Linked DNA regions of Arabidopsis thaliana. The protein of the gene in region 3 interacts with the protein of the main gene of each other region in a pairwise test. Each region holds a gene or a part of one and is shown on either strand. Other genes may lie near its edges. The genes, in order: ABI4, DIS1, BRK1 and ABI3.

Region 1 (3,750 bases), 7.2 Mb from region 3:
TCTACACTATAACTCCTCTTTTTAATATATTTATTTATTTATCCATTGACATGTGAGTATTTTAAATTTCTACATAATTCTTTTTTAAGATTAATAAAAGGTGTAGTATCCAAAATCTAAATCTATCGGACGAAGTATTTGACTGAAGCCAAGTCGTCTTCCAAGAATGGTGTTAAGTGGACTAAATGAACACATATATCTATGTAATGAAAGCAGAAAAATAATTACTGTGTCTCTCTGCATCTGTATTTCTGTCCCTCCAGTGGCTGCAGCAGGCAATGGATCTGCAACACTCTCCGAGTGCGCAAATCAACTTATTTTTCTTCTCCAAAATTTAACAAGTACTACTCCAGAAATATGATTCTAGTTTTTACTTATGTCCAAAAATATGATACGTGTTGTACCAGATGTTTTTCCTCCGATCCCTTAATTATATCTATGTTTACAATTTTATTTTACGTATAAAGATAAAACATCAAAAAAATAGTATCATAAGGTGATTTCCCAACAGCTTAAATTTTTCTCTAAGATCATAATCATCAAGTATAGAAGCTTCGGTTAAGTTCAACACTAAAAGTTAGATTAAAACCAAATTAGGGGCGAATATGGTTAGACCATCTCCAATGGTCACCTCTATAATTTTCTCTATTTTAGAGGTGCCTCTATTTTAGAAGCATTGTGCTCCAATGGTCACCTCTAAAATAGAGTTTCCTCAAAAATAGAAGAAAAATTAGAGATGAATTGTAGAGATCTCTATTTATAGAGACAAAAAGTAAATATTTCTATTTCTTCCTCTATTATAGAGAAAACTCTATTTTAGAGGTGACCATTTGAACATAATGCCTTTAAAATAGAGTCACCTCTATAAATAGAGGAAAATATAAAGATCACTATTAAAAATGCATTTAGATCTTTTACTAGGGTTGTTGGTAATGGTAGATTAATTACCTTGATCCTTTTTAGTATACTTATCTGTTAATGCTTGTTAACCACTTAAATTGCAAGAGAGTTGAACAAAATTGGGTAATTCATGCCACGCTTTGTAATTATTCATTGATTAGTGTTTCATTCTCTACAATTTATGGCTAATCAGCCCCCGTTAGCCGTTATGTAATGATTTATTCTAGTTTCATTGCTTGCCAACTTTAAACGATGCTTTTAATTCTTGAACTCATAAATCATTTTCTTTGTTATCTTTGTCTACTGTTTTATTCACTTGATCTTCTTAATCTTTTAAATTGCCTATCTTTTGCTATGTTTTTGTTACAATTTAAATTGACAAGTACTTAGAAAAACAAACAAAAATGATATCTCTGTTCCATCTTAGATTATTCGTTTCTTATTTCTCTTAATATATATTTTTGAACACGCTTATTTCTCTTATATATGTTGCAATATTCCTAACCTTGGTGAATTTGATTCAGTTCTCTCTGGTTGAATCCTCTGAAATCTGAATGCCTTGGAGTGTTTTCAACATGCGAGTATTTCTCACAATTACCCATCCAATCAAAGAAAAGAACCAACTTCAAGATATTGTTATATATCGCTCATGATTTGCTATAGTTACCCAAAAGAAAGAAAGCAATTAAATGTTTTTATAATATCCTTGATTACATTCCAATGTGTAACAAGTAACTTATGACAACACAAATTTCTTCTTTGGTAGAAAACAAACGGGTAAGTAAAAAGAAAAGAAAAAAAGAAGTGAGTGAGAAGAGAGTGTAAGTATAAATAAAAGAAGCACCGCCCTAATCGACCATTCACAACGATGACATTCAAACACTCTTCAGTTTCCCTTCCTTCTTGATTCGTCCTCTCCACTATTTTTCTCAATTTCTTTAATCTCTCTCTTTCTCTCTCTACTTCCTCTTCCTCTTCTTCTTCTTCTTCTTCTTCATCTATGGACCCTTTAGCTTCCCAACATCAACACAACCATCTGGAAGATAATAACCAAACCCTAACCCATAATAATCCTCAATCCGATTCCACCACCGACTCATCAACTTCCTCCGCTCAACGCAAACGCAAAGGCAAAGGTGGTCCGGACAACTCCAAGTTCCGTTACCGTGGCGTTCGACAAAGAAGCTGGGGCAAATGGGTCGCCGAGATCCGAGAGCCACGTAAGCGCACTCGCAAGTGGCTTGGTACTTTCGCAACCGCCGAAGACGCCGCACGTGCCTACGACCGGGCTGCCGTTTACCTATACGGGTCACGTGCTCAGCTCAACTTAACCCCTTCGTCTCCTTCCTCCGTCTCTTCCTCTTCCTCCTCCGTCTCCGCCGCTTCTTCTCCTTCCACCTCCTCTTCCTCCACTCAAACCCTAAGACCTCTCCTCCCTCGCCCCGCCGCCGCCACCGTAGGAGGAGGAGCCAACTTTGGTCCGTACGGTATCCCTTTTAACAACAACATCTTCCTTAATGGTGGGACCTCTATGTTATGCCCTAGTTATGGTTTTTTCCCTCAACAACAACAACAACAAAATCAGATGGTCCAGATGGGACAATTCCAACACCAACAGTATCAGAATCTTCATTCTAATACTAACAATAACAAGATTTCTGACATCGAGCTCACTGATGTTCCGGTAACTAATTCGACTTCGTTTCATCATGAGGTGGCGTTAGGGCAGGAACAAGGAGGAAGTGGGTGTAATAATAATAGTTCGATGGAGGATTTGAACTCTCTAGCTGGTTCGGTGGGTTCGAGTCTATCAATAACTCATCCACCGCCGTTGGTTGATCCGGTATGTTCTATGGGTCTGGATCCGGGTTATATGGTTGGAGATGGATCTTCGACCATTTGGCCTTTTGGAGGAGAAGAAGAATATAGTCATAATTGGGGGAGTATTTGGGATTTTATTGATCCCATCTTGGGGGAATTCTATTAATTTGTTTTTGTGGAAGATCATATTATATACGATGAGCATCCCTAAGGTCGGTCAAGAGCATTGGAGATTCATTGTTGAGAGGAATCAAAGAGATTGCATTCTATGAGGAGCTCTGCATGCAAAATTTTGGAGGATTTTTTTACTACCTATAGAGATAAATAAGAGGGTATTTTTATTATTTTTTTGAAGATTTTTATTTTCAAGGAATTCGTAAAAGAGATTACGGTTCCAATAAAGTATGTATATGTGGAAGAGAATCGGAGGAGATGGTGGAAAGTTGTATGGGAATTTTATTGGTTCAACACTTCCTTCACAGTGTGCCTACCTTAATATATAATTATTGATAGGATATGATAATTTCTGTTTGGTTGTTCGAGTTTCAGAGGTTATATATAGTTATATTTTGTTTATCTCTGAGAATATTTACACATATCTCTATTAAGTTTTAGTAATATAGGAATCATCAATGTAGAAACTATGGAGAGAAACACGTTTTCAAAAAGTGTTCATCACTGGATGCATAATTGTTGTCGTTGAGAAGATTATTTACATTATTCGAGCTGGGTATTCTCACACCAACACTTCATATTCAAGTTTACAATTTTTTGTATCGATCATCCTTCAAAGTGTTTGGACATGATTTTGTCCGAATCCTAGCTTTCTTTGACTAAAAAGAGTTCTCCGTTTCTGTATTTCCCTTGTCCTGTGATTTCTTGTTTACTATGGTGTTTATTGGAAGTTGACAAGAAAAAATCAATTTTATTTTTTGTTTATGATTATATTTCGAATCTTTTAACAGTATTATACAAAATTTAAATTAAAAATAATCCCATATCTGACTGGGTTATACATGAATATTTCAA
Region 2 (5,652 bases), on a different chromosome or scaffold from region 3:
TTGAGAATCCGACAAACTCCGGAATTGTTTGAACGCCCAGAAACAGAGCTTTAGCGAAAGAGTTTTTGATGAGATCGGAGGAAGAGAGTCGTATTCGTCGAGACTCGGGATGTTCTCTTTCTTATCCGATAGAAGAAGAAAAAATGAAAGAAGAGCTTCACCGTGATGTCAACAGTTTGTCTTAACAAACTTTTTTCTTTTACATGTTTTTTTAGTGCGTTTATACAACAAGCTATAAATGTAATAATGTATTTTGTAGAACATATGAAAGATATATATATATATTTTTTTTTCCCATGAAAGTTTTTTCCTTTATTATTAACAACAGAATATCTTACATTACTCCAAAACCAAAGAGTAATGAAAGATATTTGTTTTGAGTAATTTAAGAAAATGATTTTGTGTATTTTACCCAAAAGAAGGTTTATCTATTCATGTCTAATTTTAAATATTATTAACTAATTTATAAAAAATAAAACACATCATAAAGTAGACAAAACTTAATTATCATGTGTTTCATCTAGAACTTAAGCTCTTGAGTGGAATAAAAGCTTATAAAAAATGATAACTTGACAATTAGACGATTGATAATCCGGAACTTTTCTGTGGAATTTAATGCTTGAGTTAACAGAAAATAATATGAAAAAAAAATCAAACTTCTACATACTTTTTTTCTTTAATTTGTCTGAATAATAATATGACTTCTACATCAAGCCTAGCTTACACTGTGTGTACTCAAGAACCCTAAAGTCAGTAATAGAAATGGAGTAAAGCAGACAAACATTCACAGAATCTGCTGGTGAATTATTTATGAAGCAGCTTCAATACATTCCCTTGAACACCGGATTCGTGCGGCATATGCTTGCTCCATATTCCTCATACTCCTCTTTCGTTCTGCAACTCTGCAACAACAAAAATACATCTTGTTTCAAAACACGATCAAGCCATGAGGTTTAGCTTCAAACTAGCGGATCTCTAAACTAGTTTGCATACCGCGAAAAACTCAGGAGTTGATGAAAGCACAGAGCCTCCAAACCAAACTGCAAACCTCTGGACAGGATGGCTCACGACATTAACCTCCACCGGTTGAGACTGTGGTTATAAATAAATATCACCTCAGATTAAGAAAACTGGTTATCACTTTTATTTTCCAGAATATCATACAATTTTCTTACCGTAATTTCACCACCAGTACGAGCGTTATTAGCAAGAACACGAGCATCAACAATCTTCTTGAGGTCCCTTTGTAACCTTCTTCCGAAATCTTTGAACATAGTTGAACCTCCGGACAACACTATATTCTGAAATGATTTCACAAATTCATCAGTATTGCGGATTGGAAATTATCTTAAAACTCTGACCAGTCTTTGGCGTTTCAAACCTTATATAAAGCTCTTCGTGTGTCAATTGGTGCAGACTGAATACATTTGTCTATCACAGCTGGTAAAGTAGTTGTGAAGTCATTGCTGTATATCTCTGGATTAAAGAACACCTGTAACACACAAAATCTCAACATTACTCATCGGTAATAGCAGAACAAAAACGCAAGAACAATAAAGGAAATTATGTTCCACTTTCCAGTTACTCTCTTGGTATAGAGATACAAAGGAGATTAGCTTCCTATGGGTCCAGTAGTGACAGCTGAATTCTAACTAGATAAGAATTAGTTCCAGACTTCCAGTTAACATAATGGACTAAGTAATTACCTAATTTGAGTTTCTGAGAGAGCATAGTTTTATATCAGTACCGTTCAGTAATCAGAACAGAGTGCTGAAAATATCTTATAATCGATAACAAATCATGAACAGCTCACTGACATACTAGAAACTCATGCACCAGTAAAGATATCCAGTCTCCGATTCTGGTTATCTTATCAACTTACAACTTTTTATAACAGATAGATGGTAACAAACCTCGGGTCCAAGGAATCGTTCATATCCCACGTCGCAAGTGTATGGTGCACCAGTCTTTGGCTTTACACCTTTCCATTGTTTAATATACTTTGCTGGTTCTTTGTCATGTTTATTAAACTCCTGCAACCATATGAATGTTCTTTATCAATATTCCTATATTCTTTTCAAGCGATTTCAGCATACAGGCCAGTAATAAATTTTCAGAAGAGTATATATTAATATTATCTGACTTGAATATTCACCACTAAGGATTACCTTTACGATGTCAGAACAAGTGTAGCAGTACATTTCCTTCACTTTACGGGCTACATCGAATGAATCTTCTGGTGGTATATTCTCACCTCTTTCCTACAGTAAACATTGAAACGAGAAGTTACATGAAGTTAATACATTAATCTAAACCAGTAAACACCCTCTCTAAGCATATGAGCACAACATCTAAAACAAATAAACAGGAAGCCTAGCTACCATACTCAAAGCTTGGATTTAACACATTTAACTTCTGTGCCTTTAAAATCTTAAAATGTCACAGAGAAAGAATGAAAACCAACTACAAAAGAAGACCAAGACTAATATTAAGATAATAAATTAGTGCATACCCGCATGAGTTGCTGGATAAAGAGGGTGACATCTTTGCCAGCAATTGGAATCGATTTGATACAGCTCCCGATGACATAACCTTCTGCAACAGGTACAACATGAGTTGCCCCATCTCCAACATCTACTACAACCCCTGTCATCTCACACTAAGAAGAATTGTAAGTCAAATTAAGAGGCGAGGCGAGCATAACGAGACAGAACAAAAAACAAGAGAACATGTTTAATATTTGCTAAATCCCACAAAGCTCGGAAATTGTCTAATGTTGGTGAGGTTACACTAACCTATTCTTGAGACTCAGTCCCTAAAACCAAAACTGAATAAAGTATAATTATGACTTGATTTAAGGATTCACACAGTCTACAAGCAAACTTAAACAACTAATAGCCTAAATACATATCATTTCATCCCAGCAAACAACTTAAATACATATCATTTCATCACAGCAAGTAGGCTAATACATAGCATTTCATCACAGCAAACAACGTAAATACTTGGAGAAAAGAAATGTGTAACATACCTTTGATGTTGTGTAGCCAGCAGCAAGTGCAAGAACTGAATTAACAGCAATGTAAAGCCCAGGAACATTAAAAGTCTCAAACAAAATTTCTCCAGTATATTCTCGACTTTCAGGAGGAGTAAGAGGACTTTCAGTAAGAAGAAAATAATGATCCTCAGGATCACATCTCAAATAGTTAAATATACACTGCTGCCAATATCTCTCCATAGCATCCCAATCCTCAACTTGACCATGCTCAATTGGATAATGAAGATTATGAGTACTACTAGACCGCGATTTCGCAAGAGCTTCATCTCCAATATAGAAATCGAGATCCGCAGCAACTCCAGCGTTGTGCTGAGTTTGCCAAGTTGCCTTAGAAGAACTCTTGGATTGATTCAAAAACGACTCGTTTACTGCAACTACTGTTGGTAAGATAAAACATGGCTCTACATTACCCGCAAATCCCATTTTAGTATACCTGCAATACACACACACACAAGAATGAATCTAATTGCAGCATTTCATCGAACACGTTAAGCGCATAAACAAATCAAACCTATCATTGAACGTACCCAGTTCCATTGTCGATGACAATAGCGGGTCGAGAAGTCGGATCCATTAGAGAAACTAAGCCGGCGATCTCTAAAGCAAAATCAGCTCACCAGAGGGTGTGAATGGAGATCCAAAACAGTATCCGATTAGAGATCGATTATCTCTACCGTTTAAACACTAGAGAACCCTAGAATTTTCCGATCGAACCTAAGCTTGCTTCTTTCTCGCGCCTTCCGTCAACGGAAGTTGAGTTTCCGACAAGCTACCACGTAATTTCTCGTAGGCTATGAGAAACAATGTAGGGAGAGAGACAATGAGAGAAAATTGATTTTCCCGGAAAATCAGAGATTCACGTGAGATTCAGCGAAACGGTCAGATCATAGAGAAAGTCGCCGTCGTCGACTGGTACTTTATCGTGTGAGATTTTTCCGATAAAAAACAAATGAAGTTATGTACAACTACTGTTTTAAATTTTGGCTTCGTCCTTATGCGCTGTGGTTAATTTGGTTTTCCAACCCGACTCAATAACCAAGTCTGATTTAAAAACCAAACAAATTTCAATAACATTGAATTGAACCATACTGGGCTGATTATCATCATTACAAATTTTGTTTGGATATATAATATACTGTAATCGTCTTTGTAAACAAACCAAATTAACTAGGGACTTTGATAATATAAAAGGTAATCATAACACAAATAATGTTCTGATATATGATATATGATATATGCCTACTGTTAATTGGATTAACTCAATATTAAGATGTGTGTAGTGAAGACAGAAAAACAAACTTATGATAAGGACGCTTGAACCACCGAACAAAACCCATTAAAACTTGAGATTGAAGTCTTGTTACTACTTTACTACACAGTAGTTATCATGAACTATGTTCACACGGTCTCGAAAAATGGAATCATATCAGTCTCAGCCTAATCCTATTGAGTAGATAAGCTTAAATCATCATGCATGTCTCACTCATACCGGTCCGTTTAAATAACAAAATGAAAATGTAGCCCAATGTTTTAGCATTTAAGTGTAAAGTATGACCTGTTTTCAAGGTAATAAAATTTCAAAAGACCCAAACAAAATAATTTTTAGTATAAATATGCCCAAATATATAAATTTTTTTTTTTAACATGAATATAAGGTCCTGAATTTTTATTTTGCCCTAGAGCTTTAAAAATTGTTGGGCTAGGTTAGTCTCCCTTGCAACAGATTTCTTTTTCATATATATTTTTTATAGTCAATGTTAGGTGGTATGTGTAAAACTACAATGCGAATGAATATATATTTTTTTAAATGGCTTGATTGATCTCATTCATCTAACGAATTACTACATTCGTCCAACAAATTACTAAATTCGTTAACGCAGATATGTGATACTCAATTCACTAGTTTTTTCAATTTAATATTCGCCGTTTACGAATTTGTTGGCTATCGTTTTTAGATCAGTCACATTGCTGTAAGCATCTCTTGCCGACATGTTTTCCAGACGACTCATTGTTGATCTACCAACGTTCTTCAAAGCTCTAAAGAATGCACTATTTTTTTCACTTTAGCAAAAAATAAAAATAAAATATAAAGATGTAACCGTAAAGAAAAAATATTACAAAGCGCATTTTGTACAAATTTTATTGATAAAGGACGATCTAAATATATTTTTAAGATTCTACAAGTTTTTTTACTTATAAATACTCATCAATGTATTAGCAGTATTATATTCGAACTATCAAAACAAATATTTGTTTATTGTTTTAGTTTTTTTTTTTAAACAATGATTTTTTTTCATGATCATGTCAAGTTTATTGATTAAAGAGATTTGGGGGTAAATGAGGTGTAATCATAATGAAATATACAATACTCATGTTTTAATATTCAATATGGTTAAGATTGTTTAATTCAGATAAATTGAACTGTATCATCAAGAACAAAATGAATTTTTTAAAATTCAATTTGAAGGAAAAATCAAATACCACCTAACCGATTGCATTGAAAAGAGAAAAAAAACTATATTTGATATAAAAAACCGTTGACAAAACAACCATATTCGAAGCAAAATCAAATTTGTATCAAATTACTTTAGATG
Region 3 (3,786 bases):
CATAGGTGCTGGTCAGTTTTGCAACTTCTGGGTATTTTCAGGGCTCGGATCAAGGGGACTACTCTATCATGCTTGGCTTGGGAAACTCATGTCTAAAGCTGTTTTAAGTTGCAATGAAGAATTACTTCCTTCTGAACTAACTTCTTGGAAGAAAAACAGACAATAAGAGTACCATTGTTTACTTCTCAGTTCTCACTCTTGTTTGCAGCTTCAAGCTTGGAAGCTTGGTCAACACAGCAAATCTCAATTCAGACAAAACAAAAACTGAGTTCAGAATATTTTTTTAAAAATGGTCAATCATCCATAGTCTACAGAACTTTGTGGTTTAGGTACGTAAAACAGAATATTTTCAACAATGGCTTGGTTCTATGGTTGGTCCGCGACCCCTGGATATCGTAGGCATCCGTGGGGTGATCTCATAGTACGTACGGGTGGAGACGATTAGGTCGGTCTCGATGAATCCGAGTGGAACTCAAAAAAACAATGTGAGTCACAAATGCAGACAGAATCTAATGGAGGAAAAGAGATGTGAGCTTTTTCGGTTTTTTCTTCCTCCATTGATGAAAAAGAAAAAATGGGCAACAAGAGCGTTTTACATGTGTTCCACTTTAAGAGAAAAGACGAATATACAAATCCGATGCATAGAAGATGAAAAGGGTACCTCTGCAAAGTTTATAAATCAACAGCAGAAGAAAGCAAAAACTTCAAGAGTTCAACGAAATGACTTGTCATTCAAAAGAGATCTTAATGGACAGAAAAAAGATACACATATTTATGAATAGATTCATATTTTAAGCTACTAGTTTACTTACTACCACAGCTATGTGAAGAAAGAAAGAATCATTCAATGGTACACATTCAACAACAGACTTCTTCTGTTAAAGCCAAAGGATCAGGCTCGGTTTCGATTTCGATATCGTCTACGGTGTTTCACGTCGCAAACAGAGAAGGATTTGCTGTCGCGGTACTTACTTGCACCTCCAGCATTTCCAAGCGACGTTCCAACAGATCCAACTTCTCATTCAAAGAAGCCAACTTGCTCTTTGTGGTTGATTCTGAAACACACAGAGAAATTACAAACTCACAGACATCAATGACTTCGATAATCAAATTAGCTCATAAAAGAAAGTTTCATCACACACAACATTGTCTAAAACCAGCTAGAATTGAAGCTGAGAAGATCAAAGAGATCATTACAAAGATCTCTCTTAGCACATGGATCTAAGACCATACAAATGCAAATGAAATCTGATCATCTCAACAATTAAAAAGGTGAAATTTTTCACTAACCAACCACCAAAATCAAATCTCCCAATCATCAAAAACCTTACTTTGACAAAAACTCTAAAACAAAGTTTCTAAATTTAGCAAATACGAAATCGAGAAAACTCCAAAATTAGTCAATTGAATTCAAAACCCAACACAGAGAAATAAGTGAGAGAGTGAGGTTTACCAAATTGAACAAGGAATTCGAAGAGACGACGAACATTAAGAGAGATATGTGAGATAAATTCTCGATTCTCCCAATCTGCTTGAACAGCGATTCCTACGTTTACTGCGTTCGTGATCCCTCCAGCTTTCGCCATTATTAAACCCCAAAACTCTCTCTTCCACAAACACAACAGTACTCACAGATTTCGATTTCAAATTCTGAAGCTTTTTAAATAATTCGCCCTTTTTCGATTCAATCCAACGGCAGAAATGATTAAGCAATCGATTAGAGAAGGAGGGTCACCTTCCTTTTTTGGTGTCTCAGAGAAAAAGTTTCTGAATTTTATCGTAGGTTGTTTTTCTTTTAGATGATGTGTGATTGATGAAGAAGAAGTTAAGATTAGAAGAAGAAACGGGTGTTTTATGAGATAAAGAGGAAATATAGGGGCTATTTTATAATTTAAGATATTTGATATTATGTGGTTTGGTTTAATATTTTGGTAGATTGCTTAGTTAGTGTTCAATCTTTTTCGTTCTATTCAAATGTCACTATCAATTAAAAATTGAGCAATTCTTGGTTCTTCGTGCATATATACTATTACAACCAATCTTTAATCTTTGAATTCAAGATACGTTTGTTTTAAAGTCAAGTGAATTATTCGGTATGCTCATTGGTTGTAACTTGTATAACTATTTATAGGTTGTATCTATAATATTTACAAAACAGAACACATATTTCATCATACTAGAATAATTTTAAGTTGTGATTATTTCTGATGAGGCATAACTCATTGTCTATACAACAAATCAAATTTTGAATGGTTGTTCAATTAGCAGTAAACCGGACTAATTATATCAATATTTTTGTAGGTTAAAAGTGGATTACAGTATGCAAAATATTGGACAATAGTATATAATAGAGTGAACTGTGTTTACAATCAAATTTAAGCGCTAAATCAAAATCACTAAATTAATTTATTCAAACCGAGAAACTTATAACCCTCTACTTTTGGACTAAAATTTTGAATCACATAAAATCCTATATTGTACGACCGGTGAAAATTTACATCCCAAGGAAATTAGGGTTTATTTTTCTTCTCCTAGCTCCTCTTAGTTTGATTTCACATCTGAGATTTTTTTTACTTCGTTTTTGTTATTTTAATACGACCAAAAACATAATCTTTTCAGAGATATGTTAAACAATGCAGTTTTCATATGTTGGTCATGGTCATGTAACTTCGTTAATTTCTAGGCTGACTTTTTGCATCGTTTTACCTGAAACGACAATATATAGTATACTCTTTTTGTTTTGCAAATTTTCTCTAAACTATAGAAGCAATCATCTCAAATGAATCTCCCTTTATTAAAAATCTCAATGACTAACAAAAACAAACACACACACACAAAAGTGAGCTCTGATTTTACTTTAGGTAAAGTATAGCTTATATACTAAACCAACCTATATCACACTCAATTTTTTTAGTTAAAATATATATTATATATGTAGTTCATGTATGTCTTAATTATGTACTTAAAACCAAATGTGAAAGCTAAAAAGAATATAATCGAGAAGCTGTTCCATTGCTTTCACTTGAGACCATATATAAGTATATATCGTACAAATCAAACCTTTGGTTTGCTCTCCGACATGATTACACTCACACTTACTCCTGCATGAAAACATATATATTGACATAGTCAAACGAGTCTTCATATATAATATGCACGTATATATATTTGAAAGGGTTTTGAGATAATCAAGAACGAACAATTTGTTATATATCTCTTATATGATCTTAGCTGTTTGAAGATGTCTTATAATGGGACTGCTCAGGCTGGCTTAGCTGCAGCCTAACCTGTGCATGGGATTCATAAACTGCATCTACTAGCTCATGATGTCCCAATCCATTTGTGTTCGACGTTCCATAAGCCTGTATGCAAGACCATTACCACAACACACTTTTGTAACTACGTACGATCTCAATAATTAATTATTGAGATTTGTCTAGTTTCAACTAGGAGATTAATTTGATTTAAAGGATTTGTTAGCTGCAACTTGAAGTAATGAAGTTTGTGTTTCTATTTTACCTTCTTGTATAGTTCGACATTTTCTTGATGAATCCTTTGTACTTTTCTCGACAATTCGAGGTTTTCATGATGAACAAGATTCCTCTGCAAAAGATAAAACACTTATAAGAACCTGAAAACTAGAAATGATAACATTGATTAATAATGCGTTTCAAACTTAAACACAACATCTTTAGTATCTTTTCTCAAAGAACAGATTTTTTTGTAAATTGCAAATGCAAACACAAACCGAAGAAGAAACTAAAAATATCGTTTGCATTTTACATC
Region 4 (6,275 bases), on a different chromosome or scaffold from region 3:
AAAAGGGTTTTTCGATCCCAACAATTTTTAAAGTATGTTTTTGAATTTCAACAAACGACTAGTACTGATATATACATCAATGCTTACAAAAATCAAATTATCTATCTCAACGTTTACTTTTGTACGTAATTACAAGTCAATATTAACAAATATTAGTCAACTGTAACGGTTGTTGACTCAATTGATACGTGTACGTTTAGGTGGCATGTTTTTTAATAAAATAATTTTGTTTTATGTTTTGGGATTAAAAATATTTACTTTTAAAAAACTAAACCGAAAAACTGGAACCCCCAACCTCACATATTCATCACCATCGTATCCACAAACATTATCGAGACATAAATAATAATTTATAGATATATAGCAACAAATTGGAATTAAATTAATCAAACAATGTCATTTAGAATTGGGGAAATCCTAACCGACGTTATATGATTAATTTTAATTCCAATTTATGTATGTGTATATATCTATAAATTATTATTTATATATTGATGATGTTCGTGCATGATGGTAATGGTAACCTTTAAAACTTTTGAATCTCAAAACGTAAAACAACGTCATTTGGTTTGAAGAACATGCCATCTCGACGTACAAGTGTTAGCTGATTCAACAACCGTTACTGTTAATTACCATAACTAACGTTGACTCATAATTATGTACAAAAGTAAGAGTTGAGGTAGATAATTTGAATTTTTTAAATGTTAAAGTATGAACATTACTAATTGTTTGTTCAGATTTATAAAACACAGTACCTATTTTGATGTGTTAAAATGTAATCGGGAAAATAGGAATTTTCCCAAGAAAAAAAAATACACTAAAATTTTGATGTGTTAAAATGTAATAAATACAAGTACCTATTTCTTTCTACAACAGGTATCACATGATCTGCTCAATCTCATTTTGAAGGCAAGGTCGAACCCTGTTTGTAACTAAATATTTTACAAATACACTAAAAGTTTTGTTTTGTTTTCCTCATGCAGAAAAAAGAAAAGAAAGAAGAAGAAAAAAAACTCACAAAAACATACATTGTTCTACAATATGTTAAAGTAATTGTTCTAGGGTAATAAAATCCGTGTCTGCCTCTTCCACTTCAATAGGAAAGTGTAAGTTTTTCGAATCTTTTTGGCCAGATAATTTAAAACCGACCGAGGAAACTTACTTTTGTAAAAGTGACCATTTGCACATAGGAAGTAGAAAGTTGATAATTGGAAAATTTATAATATTTTATACAAAAGAAGTGTTTAAGAACCACCGCTTGGTCTCACCACTCAAATTCGAACGTATGGCTCGTGGGCACAAACTCCTGTACCAACCTTTAGATACTAGCGGCACGAGGAGACTTCTATTTTCTCTTTGTTTTTAAGTTTTTTTATCGACTTAAATATGGCTTTTTGCACCATTTAATTTCAAAACCAATGTCTTTCTCTCGAGGAACTTTGTTTTTATTTCTTAGAAGATGAGGGGAGATTTACTATCTAAATAAAATTTTAAATGTTTGTAAGTATTATGAGCTCAACAATTTTGTCAATAGTGCCACAAATTTAAACGTTTGCTTTTTGTCTTCTTTGAAAAATCAAATGCTGAAAAACTGTTACATCTCTTTTTCTTAAAAACTCTTGTCTCTCTCCTTTTCCTTCTGCTGAGGTAATTGAATGCTGCAAAGAGAAAGAGAATAACTTAAACCCAAAATTACACTTACCGCCAGAAAAAAAAAAGAGTTCAGTTTAATCTAACATATTTTATACAATACAATTGAATTATATTAGTAAAAAAAAAACTTCCATATAAATCATGGAACAAACTGGAACACATGGGCTCTCTTATTTTAATTTATTTTCTTTTTTGAGGGATTTAACCATGTTTATTATATAGTTTTATAAATATATATATACCATCTCTCCATAATTTATAAAATGAAAGAAAGAGAGAGTCTTCTTGTTGGAGTAAACCCAAACGGTTTTAGATTACTTATTAGCTGTTCATCAGTTCTTCCTCTCTAAAAGAGTAAAACCTAAACATCTCTCTCTGTTCTATTAGAACCAAAGACCAATCTTTGTGAACAAAACACATCTCGTATACTTCAGATCTAGACTCGAAAATTTTAGACCTCTTTACAATTGGTCTTTGTTCATCTGAAGTTGGAGAAAATAGTTAGCTTAGGTCGGATCTTTTCATATGCTTTGGATCCTCCTTCGTCTCTTTTGTATAATTTTAACCTTATCAAGAGTTCTTTTTGAATCTCAAAAGATTATATAGTAGTATAGAAGGTTTATATGTATATGTATAGCCAGATAGTTTATGTTGTTTAAAGATTCGATGATAGCCAAGTTGGGTTAACTTTCTTTTTCCTTGCCTCCTTACTCACATACAAACCCTATCTGTCCGTACAAAATACTAAAAACCCTAACTTTTCTCTCTCCACCAATCTAGTTTATTGTTTCATTTCCACTTCAACGATGAAAAGCTTGCATGTGGCGGCCAACGCCGGAGATCTGGCTGAGGATTGTGGAATACTCGGTGGAGACGCTGATGATACTGTTTTGATGGATGGAATTGATGAAGTTGGTAGAGAGATCTGGTTAGATGACCATGGAGGAGATAATAATCATGTTCATGGTCATCAAGATGATGATTTGATTGTTCATCATGACCCTTCAATCTTCTATGGAGATCTCCCAACGCTTCCTGATTTCCCATGCATGTCGTCTTCATCATCGTCTTCAACATCTCCAGCTCCTGTCAACGCAATCGTCTCCTCAGCCTCTTCTTCTTCGGCAGCTTCTTCCTCCACTTCCTCAGCTGCTTCTTGGGCTATATTGAGATCAGATGGAGAAGATCCGACTCCAAACCAAAACCAATACGCATCAGGAAACTGTGACGACTCTTCTGGTGCATTGCAATCCACAGCTTCCATGGAGATTCCATTAGACAGCAGTCAAGGTTTTGGTTGCGGCGAAGGCGGTGGTGATTGCATTGATATGATGGAGACTTTCGGGTACATGGATCTACTTGATAGCAACGAGTTCTTTGACACCTCAGCTATATTTAGCCAAGACGACGACACGCAAAACCCTAACTTGATGGACCAAACCCTTGAGAGACAAGAAGACCAGGTCGTTGTTCCGATGATGGAGAATAACAGTGGTGGAGACATGCAAATGATGAATTCTTCCTTGGAACAGGACGATGATCTCGCTGCTGTGTTTTTGGAGTGGCTAAAGAACAACAAGGAGACTGTGTCGGCTGAGGATTTGAGGAAAGTAAAGATAAAGAAAGCTACGATTGAATCAGCGGCAAGAAGACTAGGCGGTGGTAAAGAAGCGATGAAGCAGCTTTTAAAGCTGATTCTTGAATGGGTCCAAACTAATCACTTACAAAGAAGACGCACCACCACCACCACCACCAACCTCTCTTATCAACAATCATTCCAACAAGATCCATTTCAAAACCCTAACCCTAATAACAACAACCTAATCCCACCGTCCGACCAAACCTGTTTCTCACCTTCAACATGGGTTCCTCCACCACCACAACAACAAGCTTTTGTCTCGGACCCGGGTTTTGGATACATGCCTGCTCCAAACTATCCGCCACAGCCAGAGTTCCTTCCTTTACTTGAATCTCCACCGTCATGGCCACCACCACCACAGTCTGGTCCCATGCCACATCAACAATTCCCCATGCCGCCAACCTCGCAGTATAATCAATTTGGAGATCCAACAGGTTTCAATGGATACAACATGAATCCGTACCAATATCCTTATGTTCCTGCAGGACAAATGAGAGATCAGAGATTACTCCGTTTGTGTTCCTCAGCAACTAAAGAGGCAAGAAAGAAACGGATGGCGAGACAGAGGAGGTTCTTGTCTCATCACCACAGACATAACAACAACAACAACAACAACAACAATAATCAGCAGAACCAAACCCAAATCGGAGAAACCTGTGCCGCGGTGGCTCCACAACTTAACCCCGTGGCCACAACCGCCACGGGAGGGACCTGGATGTATTGGCCTAATGTCCCGGCAGTGCCGCCTCAATTACCGCCAGTGATGGAGACTCAGTTACCTACCATGGACCGAGCTGGCTCAGCTTCTGCTATGCCACGTCAGCAGGTGGTACCAGATCGCCGGCAGGTAGACATGCACAATCATCTTTCTCATTGTTTATTCTTTAATTTAGCAATACTCGAATAGTTTGTGTAATTGCACCACTCGTTTGGTTTGATGAAGAAGCTAAAGATTTTACATGTGTTTTTTTTGATAAAATGTGAATCGGAAGATTATACATTTGCAATGGAAATGAAATGATTTTGATCTTTTTGGTTTGATTTTAGGGATGGAAACCAGAAAAGAATTTGCGGTTTCTCTTGCAGAAAGTCTTGAAGCAAAGCGACGTGGGTAACCTCGGAAGGATCGTTTTGCCAAAAGTAATTTTTCTTCTAATTTCTTGTAGCCTTTGCTTTCCATTTTCTAAAAAAGGTTCAATGTTTGTGTAAAAATATTGTCAAGTTTTTATTTTATTTTTACTCTTATTGGTTAAGTTATATTTTACTGAATTTTTATTTTTTTTAGAAAGAAGCTGAGACACACTTGCCGGAGCTAGAGGCAAGAGACGGCATCTCTCTGGCCATGGAAGACATCGGAACCTCTCGTGTTTGGAACATGCGCTACAGGTAACTGATTATGATGCTAACATGTTAACATTGATTCTTTTTATAAAAACAATTCGTGTATTTTGTCAAAAATTGGAACTCGACCAAAATGTTTTTTCGGTTATTTAATTGTCTTCTTAAATTGGTTTTGCAGGTTTTGGCCTAACAACAAAAGCAGGATGTATCTCCTCGAGAACACCGGTACGTTTTTGAAAATGTACCCGTTAATAATTTTCCTTTCTTTTGGTTTGTTTGTTCTCTTGTAATTATTGTTGTGGACGCATACATATCTAATTTTCCTTGAAATTACGTTTACAGGCGATTTTGTGAAAACCAATGGGCTCCAAGAAGGTGATTTCATAGTCATATACTCCGACGTCAAATGTGGCAAATATGTAAGAGAAGCATCACAATATTTTTCTATACTTTTCATTAGTATTTAACTCTCATCATTACTTTTGTTGGTATTTATCTTGTCATAATTAATTGAGAATAATATTATGACAGTTGATACGAGGGGTTAAAGTAAGACAACCGAGCGGACAAAAGCCGGAGGCCCCACCGTCGTCAGCAGCTACGAAGAGACAAAACAAGTCGCAAAGGAACATAAACAATAACTCTCCGTCGGCGAATGTGGTGGTCGCTTCACCAACTTCTCAAACTGTTAAATGAAAAACAGAGACAAAAAGAAACAATATAAATATTATTATGTACCAAATAAGAAAGAGGGCAAAAGGAAAAAATGGCAGCGTACCCGAGTGTGCCACTTCTCGTGCATGCATGGGATCTTGAAGACAAATGGAGGGTCATGATTAAAGCTGTTTGGTCGGGGTCCGGGTTTTTACTCCATTTTTTGCTTTTTCTTGTCGAGTCGGTTCTTTTATAACTCTTTACTCTTTTTACCTTCAGGATATTGTAGAGATGATTAATTCTGGAAATGGTGTTTGTGTTATATTTCTGGAGAGATGATTATATAGTTCTTTTGTTGTTGTAATTGGTTAATATTACATATGTGGCTCATTTCTTGAGTCGAGCTTACATATCGTTTATAATGTGAATGTTTTAAGAAGAGTTGAATGATACAATATTTTTACACAAACATTGATAATGATAATAAAAATGATAATTAATGTACAAAATTATTTGTAAATATGGACATATGGACAATTTAAGAAGGAATTGAGATAATTAATTTTGTACATTAATTATCATTATCAATGTACAAAATTATTTGTAAATATGGACATATGGACAATTTAATGATAGTAAAAATGATAATTAATGATAATTAATGTACAAAATGATAATTAATGTACATATGGACATATGTACAAAATTATCCATATCATTCACATATTCACATTGTAAATATTTGTAAATAGAATGTTTACATATGGACATTTTAAGAAGAGTTGTTCCTTACCACTTTGATTCTATCATTTTCTTGTTTATCTAGTTAGCTTGAACCCTTTGTATTATTGAGTAACGAAAATCTTTGGAGGAAAAAAACAAGTGAGGTAGGATTATAATTTTCCTCATATAAGTGTGTTGTTTGTGATACATCATTATTCTTTCTTATTTTTGGTTAAACCCAAAAACTGGACCGCACCTAAGGAAT

The links.
Region 1: the proteins of BRK1 (region 3) and ABI4 interact in a two-hybrid assay, tested with the Arabidopsis thaliana proteins (one study listed by BioGRID).
Region 2: the proteins of BRK1 (region 3) and DIS1 interact in a two-hybrid assay, tested with the Arabidopsis thaliana proteins (one study listed by BioGRID).
Region 4: the proteins of BRK1 (region 3) and ABI3 interact in a two-hybrid assay, tested with the Arabidopsis thaliana proteins (one study listed by BioGRID).

Annotation. Positions count from the first base shown.
Region 1 is NC_003071.7:16,795,736-16,799,485, reverse strand, and holds ABI4 (Integrase-type DNA-binding superfamily protein), read left to right. Parts: upstream 1-1,900; coding exon 1,901-2,887; 3' UTR 2,888-3,239; downstream 3,240-3,750.
Region 2 is NC_003070.9:4,493,374-4,499,025, reverse strand, and holds DIS1 (Actin-like ATPase superfamily protein), read right to left. Parts: upstream 4,103-5,652; 5' UTR 3,633-4,102; coding exon 3,586-3,632; intron 3,492-3,585; coding exon 3,032-3,491; intron 2,660-3,031; coding exon 2,513-2,659; intron 2,262-2,512; coding exon 2,169-2,261; intron 2,034-2,168; coding exon 1,914-2,033; intron 1,493-1,913; coding exon 1,382-1,492; intron 1,302-1,381; coding exon 1,176-1,301; intron 1,093-1,175; coding exon 994-1,092; intron 903-993; coding exon 822-902; 3' UTR 557-821; downstream 1-556.
Region 3 is NC_003071.7:9,621,083-9,624,868, reverse strand, and holds BRK1 (BRICK1), read right to left. Parts: upstream 1,873-3,786; 5' UTR 1,587-1,872; coding exon 1,454-1,586; intron 1,056-1,453; coding exon 931-1,055; 3' UTR 534-930; downstream 1-533. Other genes in the region: AT2G22650 (FAD-dependent oxidoreductase family protein), read left to right, coding at 1-166; AGL17 (AGAMOUS-like 17), read right to left, coding at 3,228-3,362, 3,520-3,603. UniProt on the Arabidopsis thaliana protein: Involved in regulation of actin and microtubule organization. Part of a WAVE complex that activates the Arp2/3 complex.
Region 4 is NC_003074.8:8,995,452-9,001,726, forward strand, and holds ABI3 (AP2/B3-like transcriptional factor family protein), read left to right. Parts: upstream 1-1,918; 5' UTR 1,919-2,459; coding exon 2,460-4,139; intron 4,140-4,339; coding exon 4,340-4,432; intron 4,433-4,577; coding exon 4,578-4,678; intron 4,679-4,811; coding exon 4,812-4,858; intron 4,859-4,975; coding exon 4,976-5,052; intron 5,053-5,164; coding exon 5,165-5,329; 3' UTR 5,330-5,734; downstream 5,735-6,275. UniProt on the Arabidopsis thaliana protein: Participates in abscisic acid-regulated gene expression during seed development. Regulates the transcription of SGR1 and SGR2 that are involved in leaf and embryo degreening.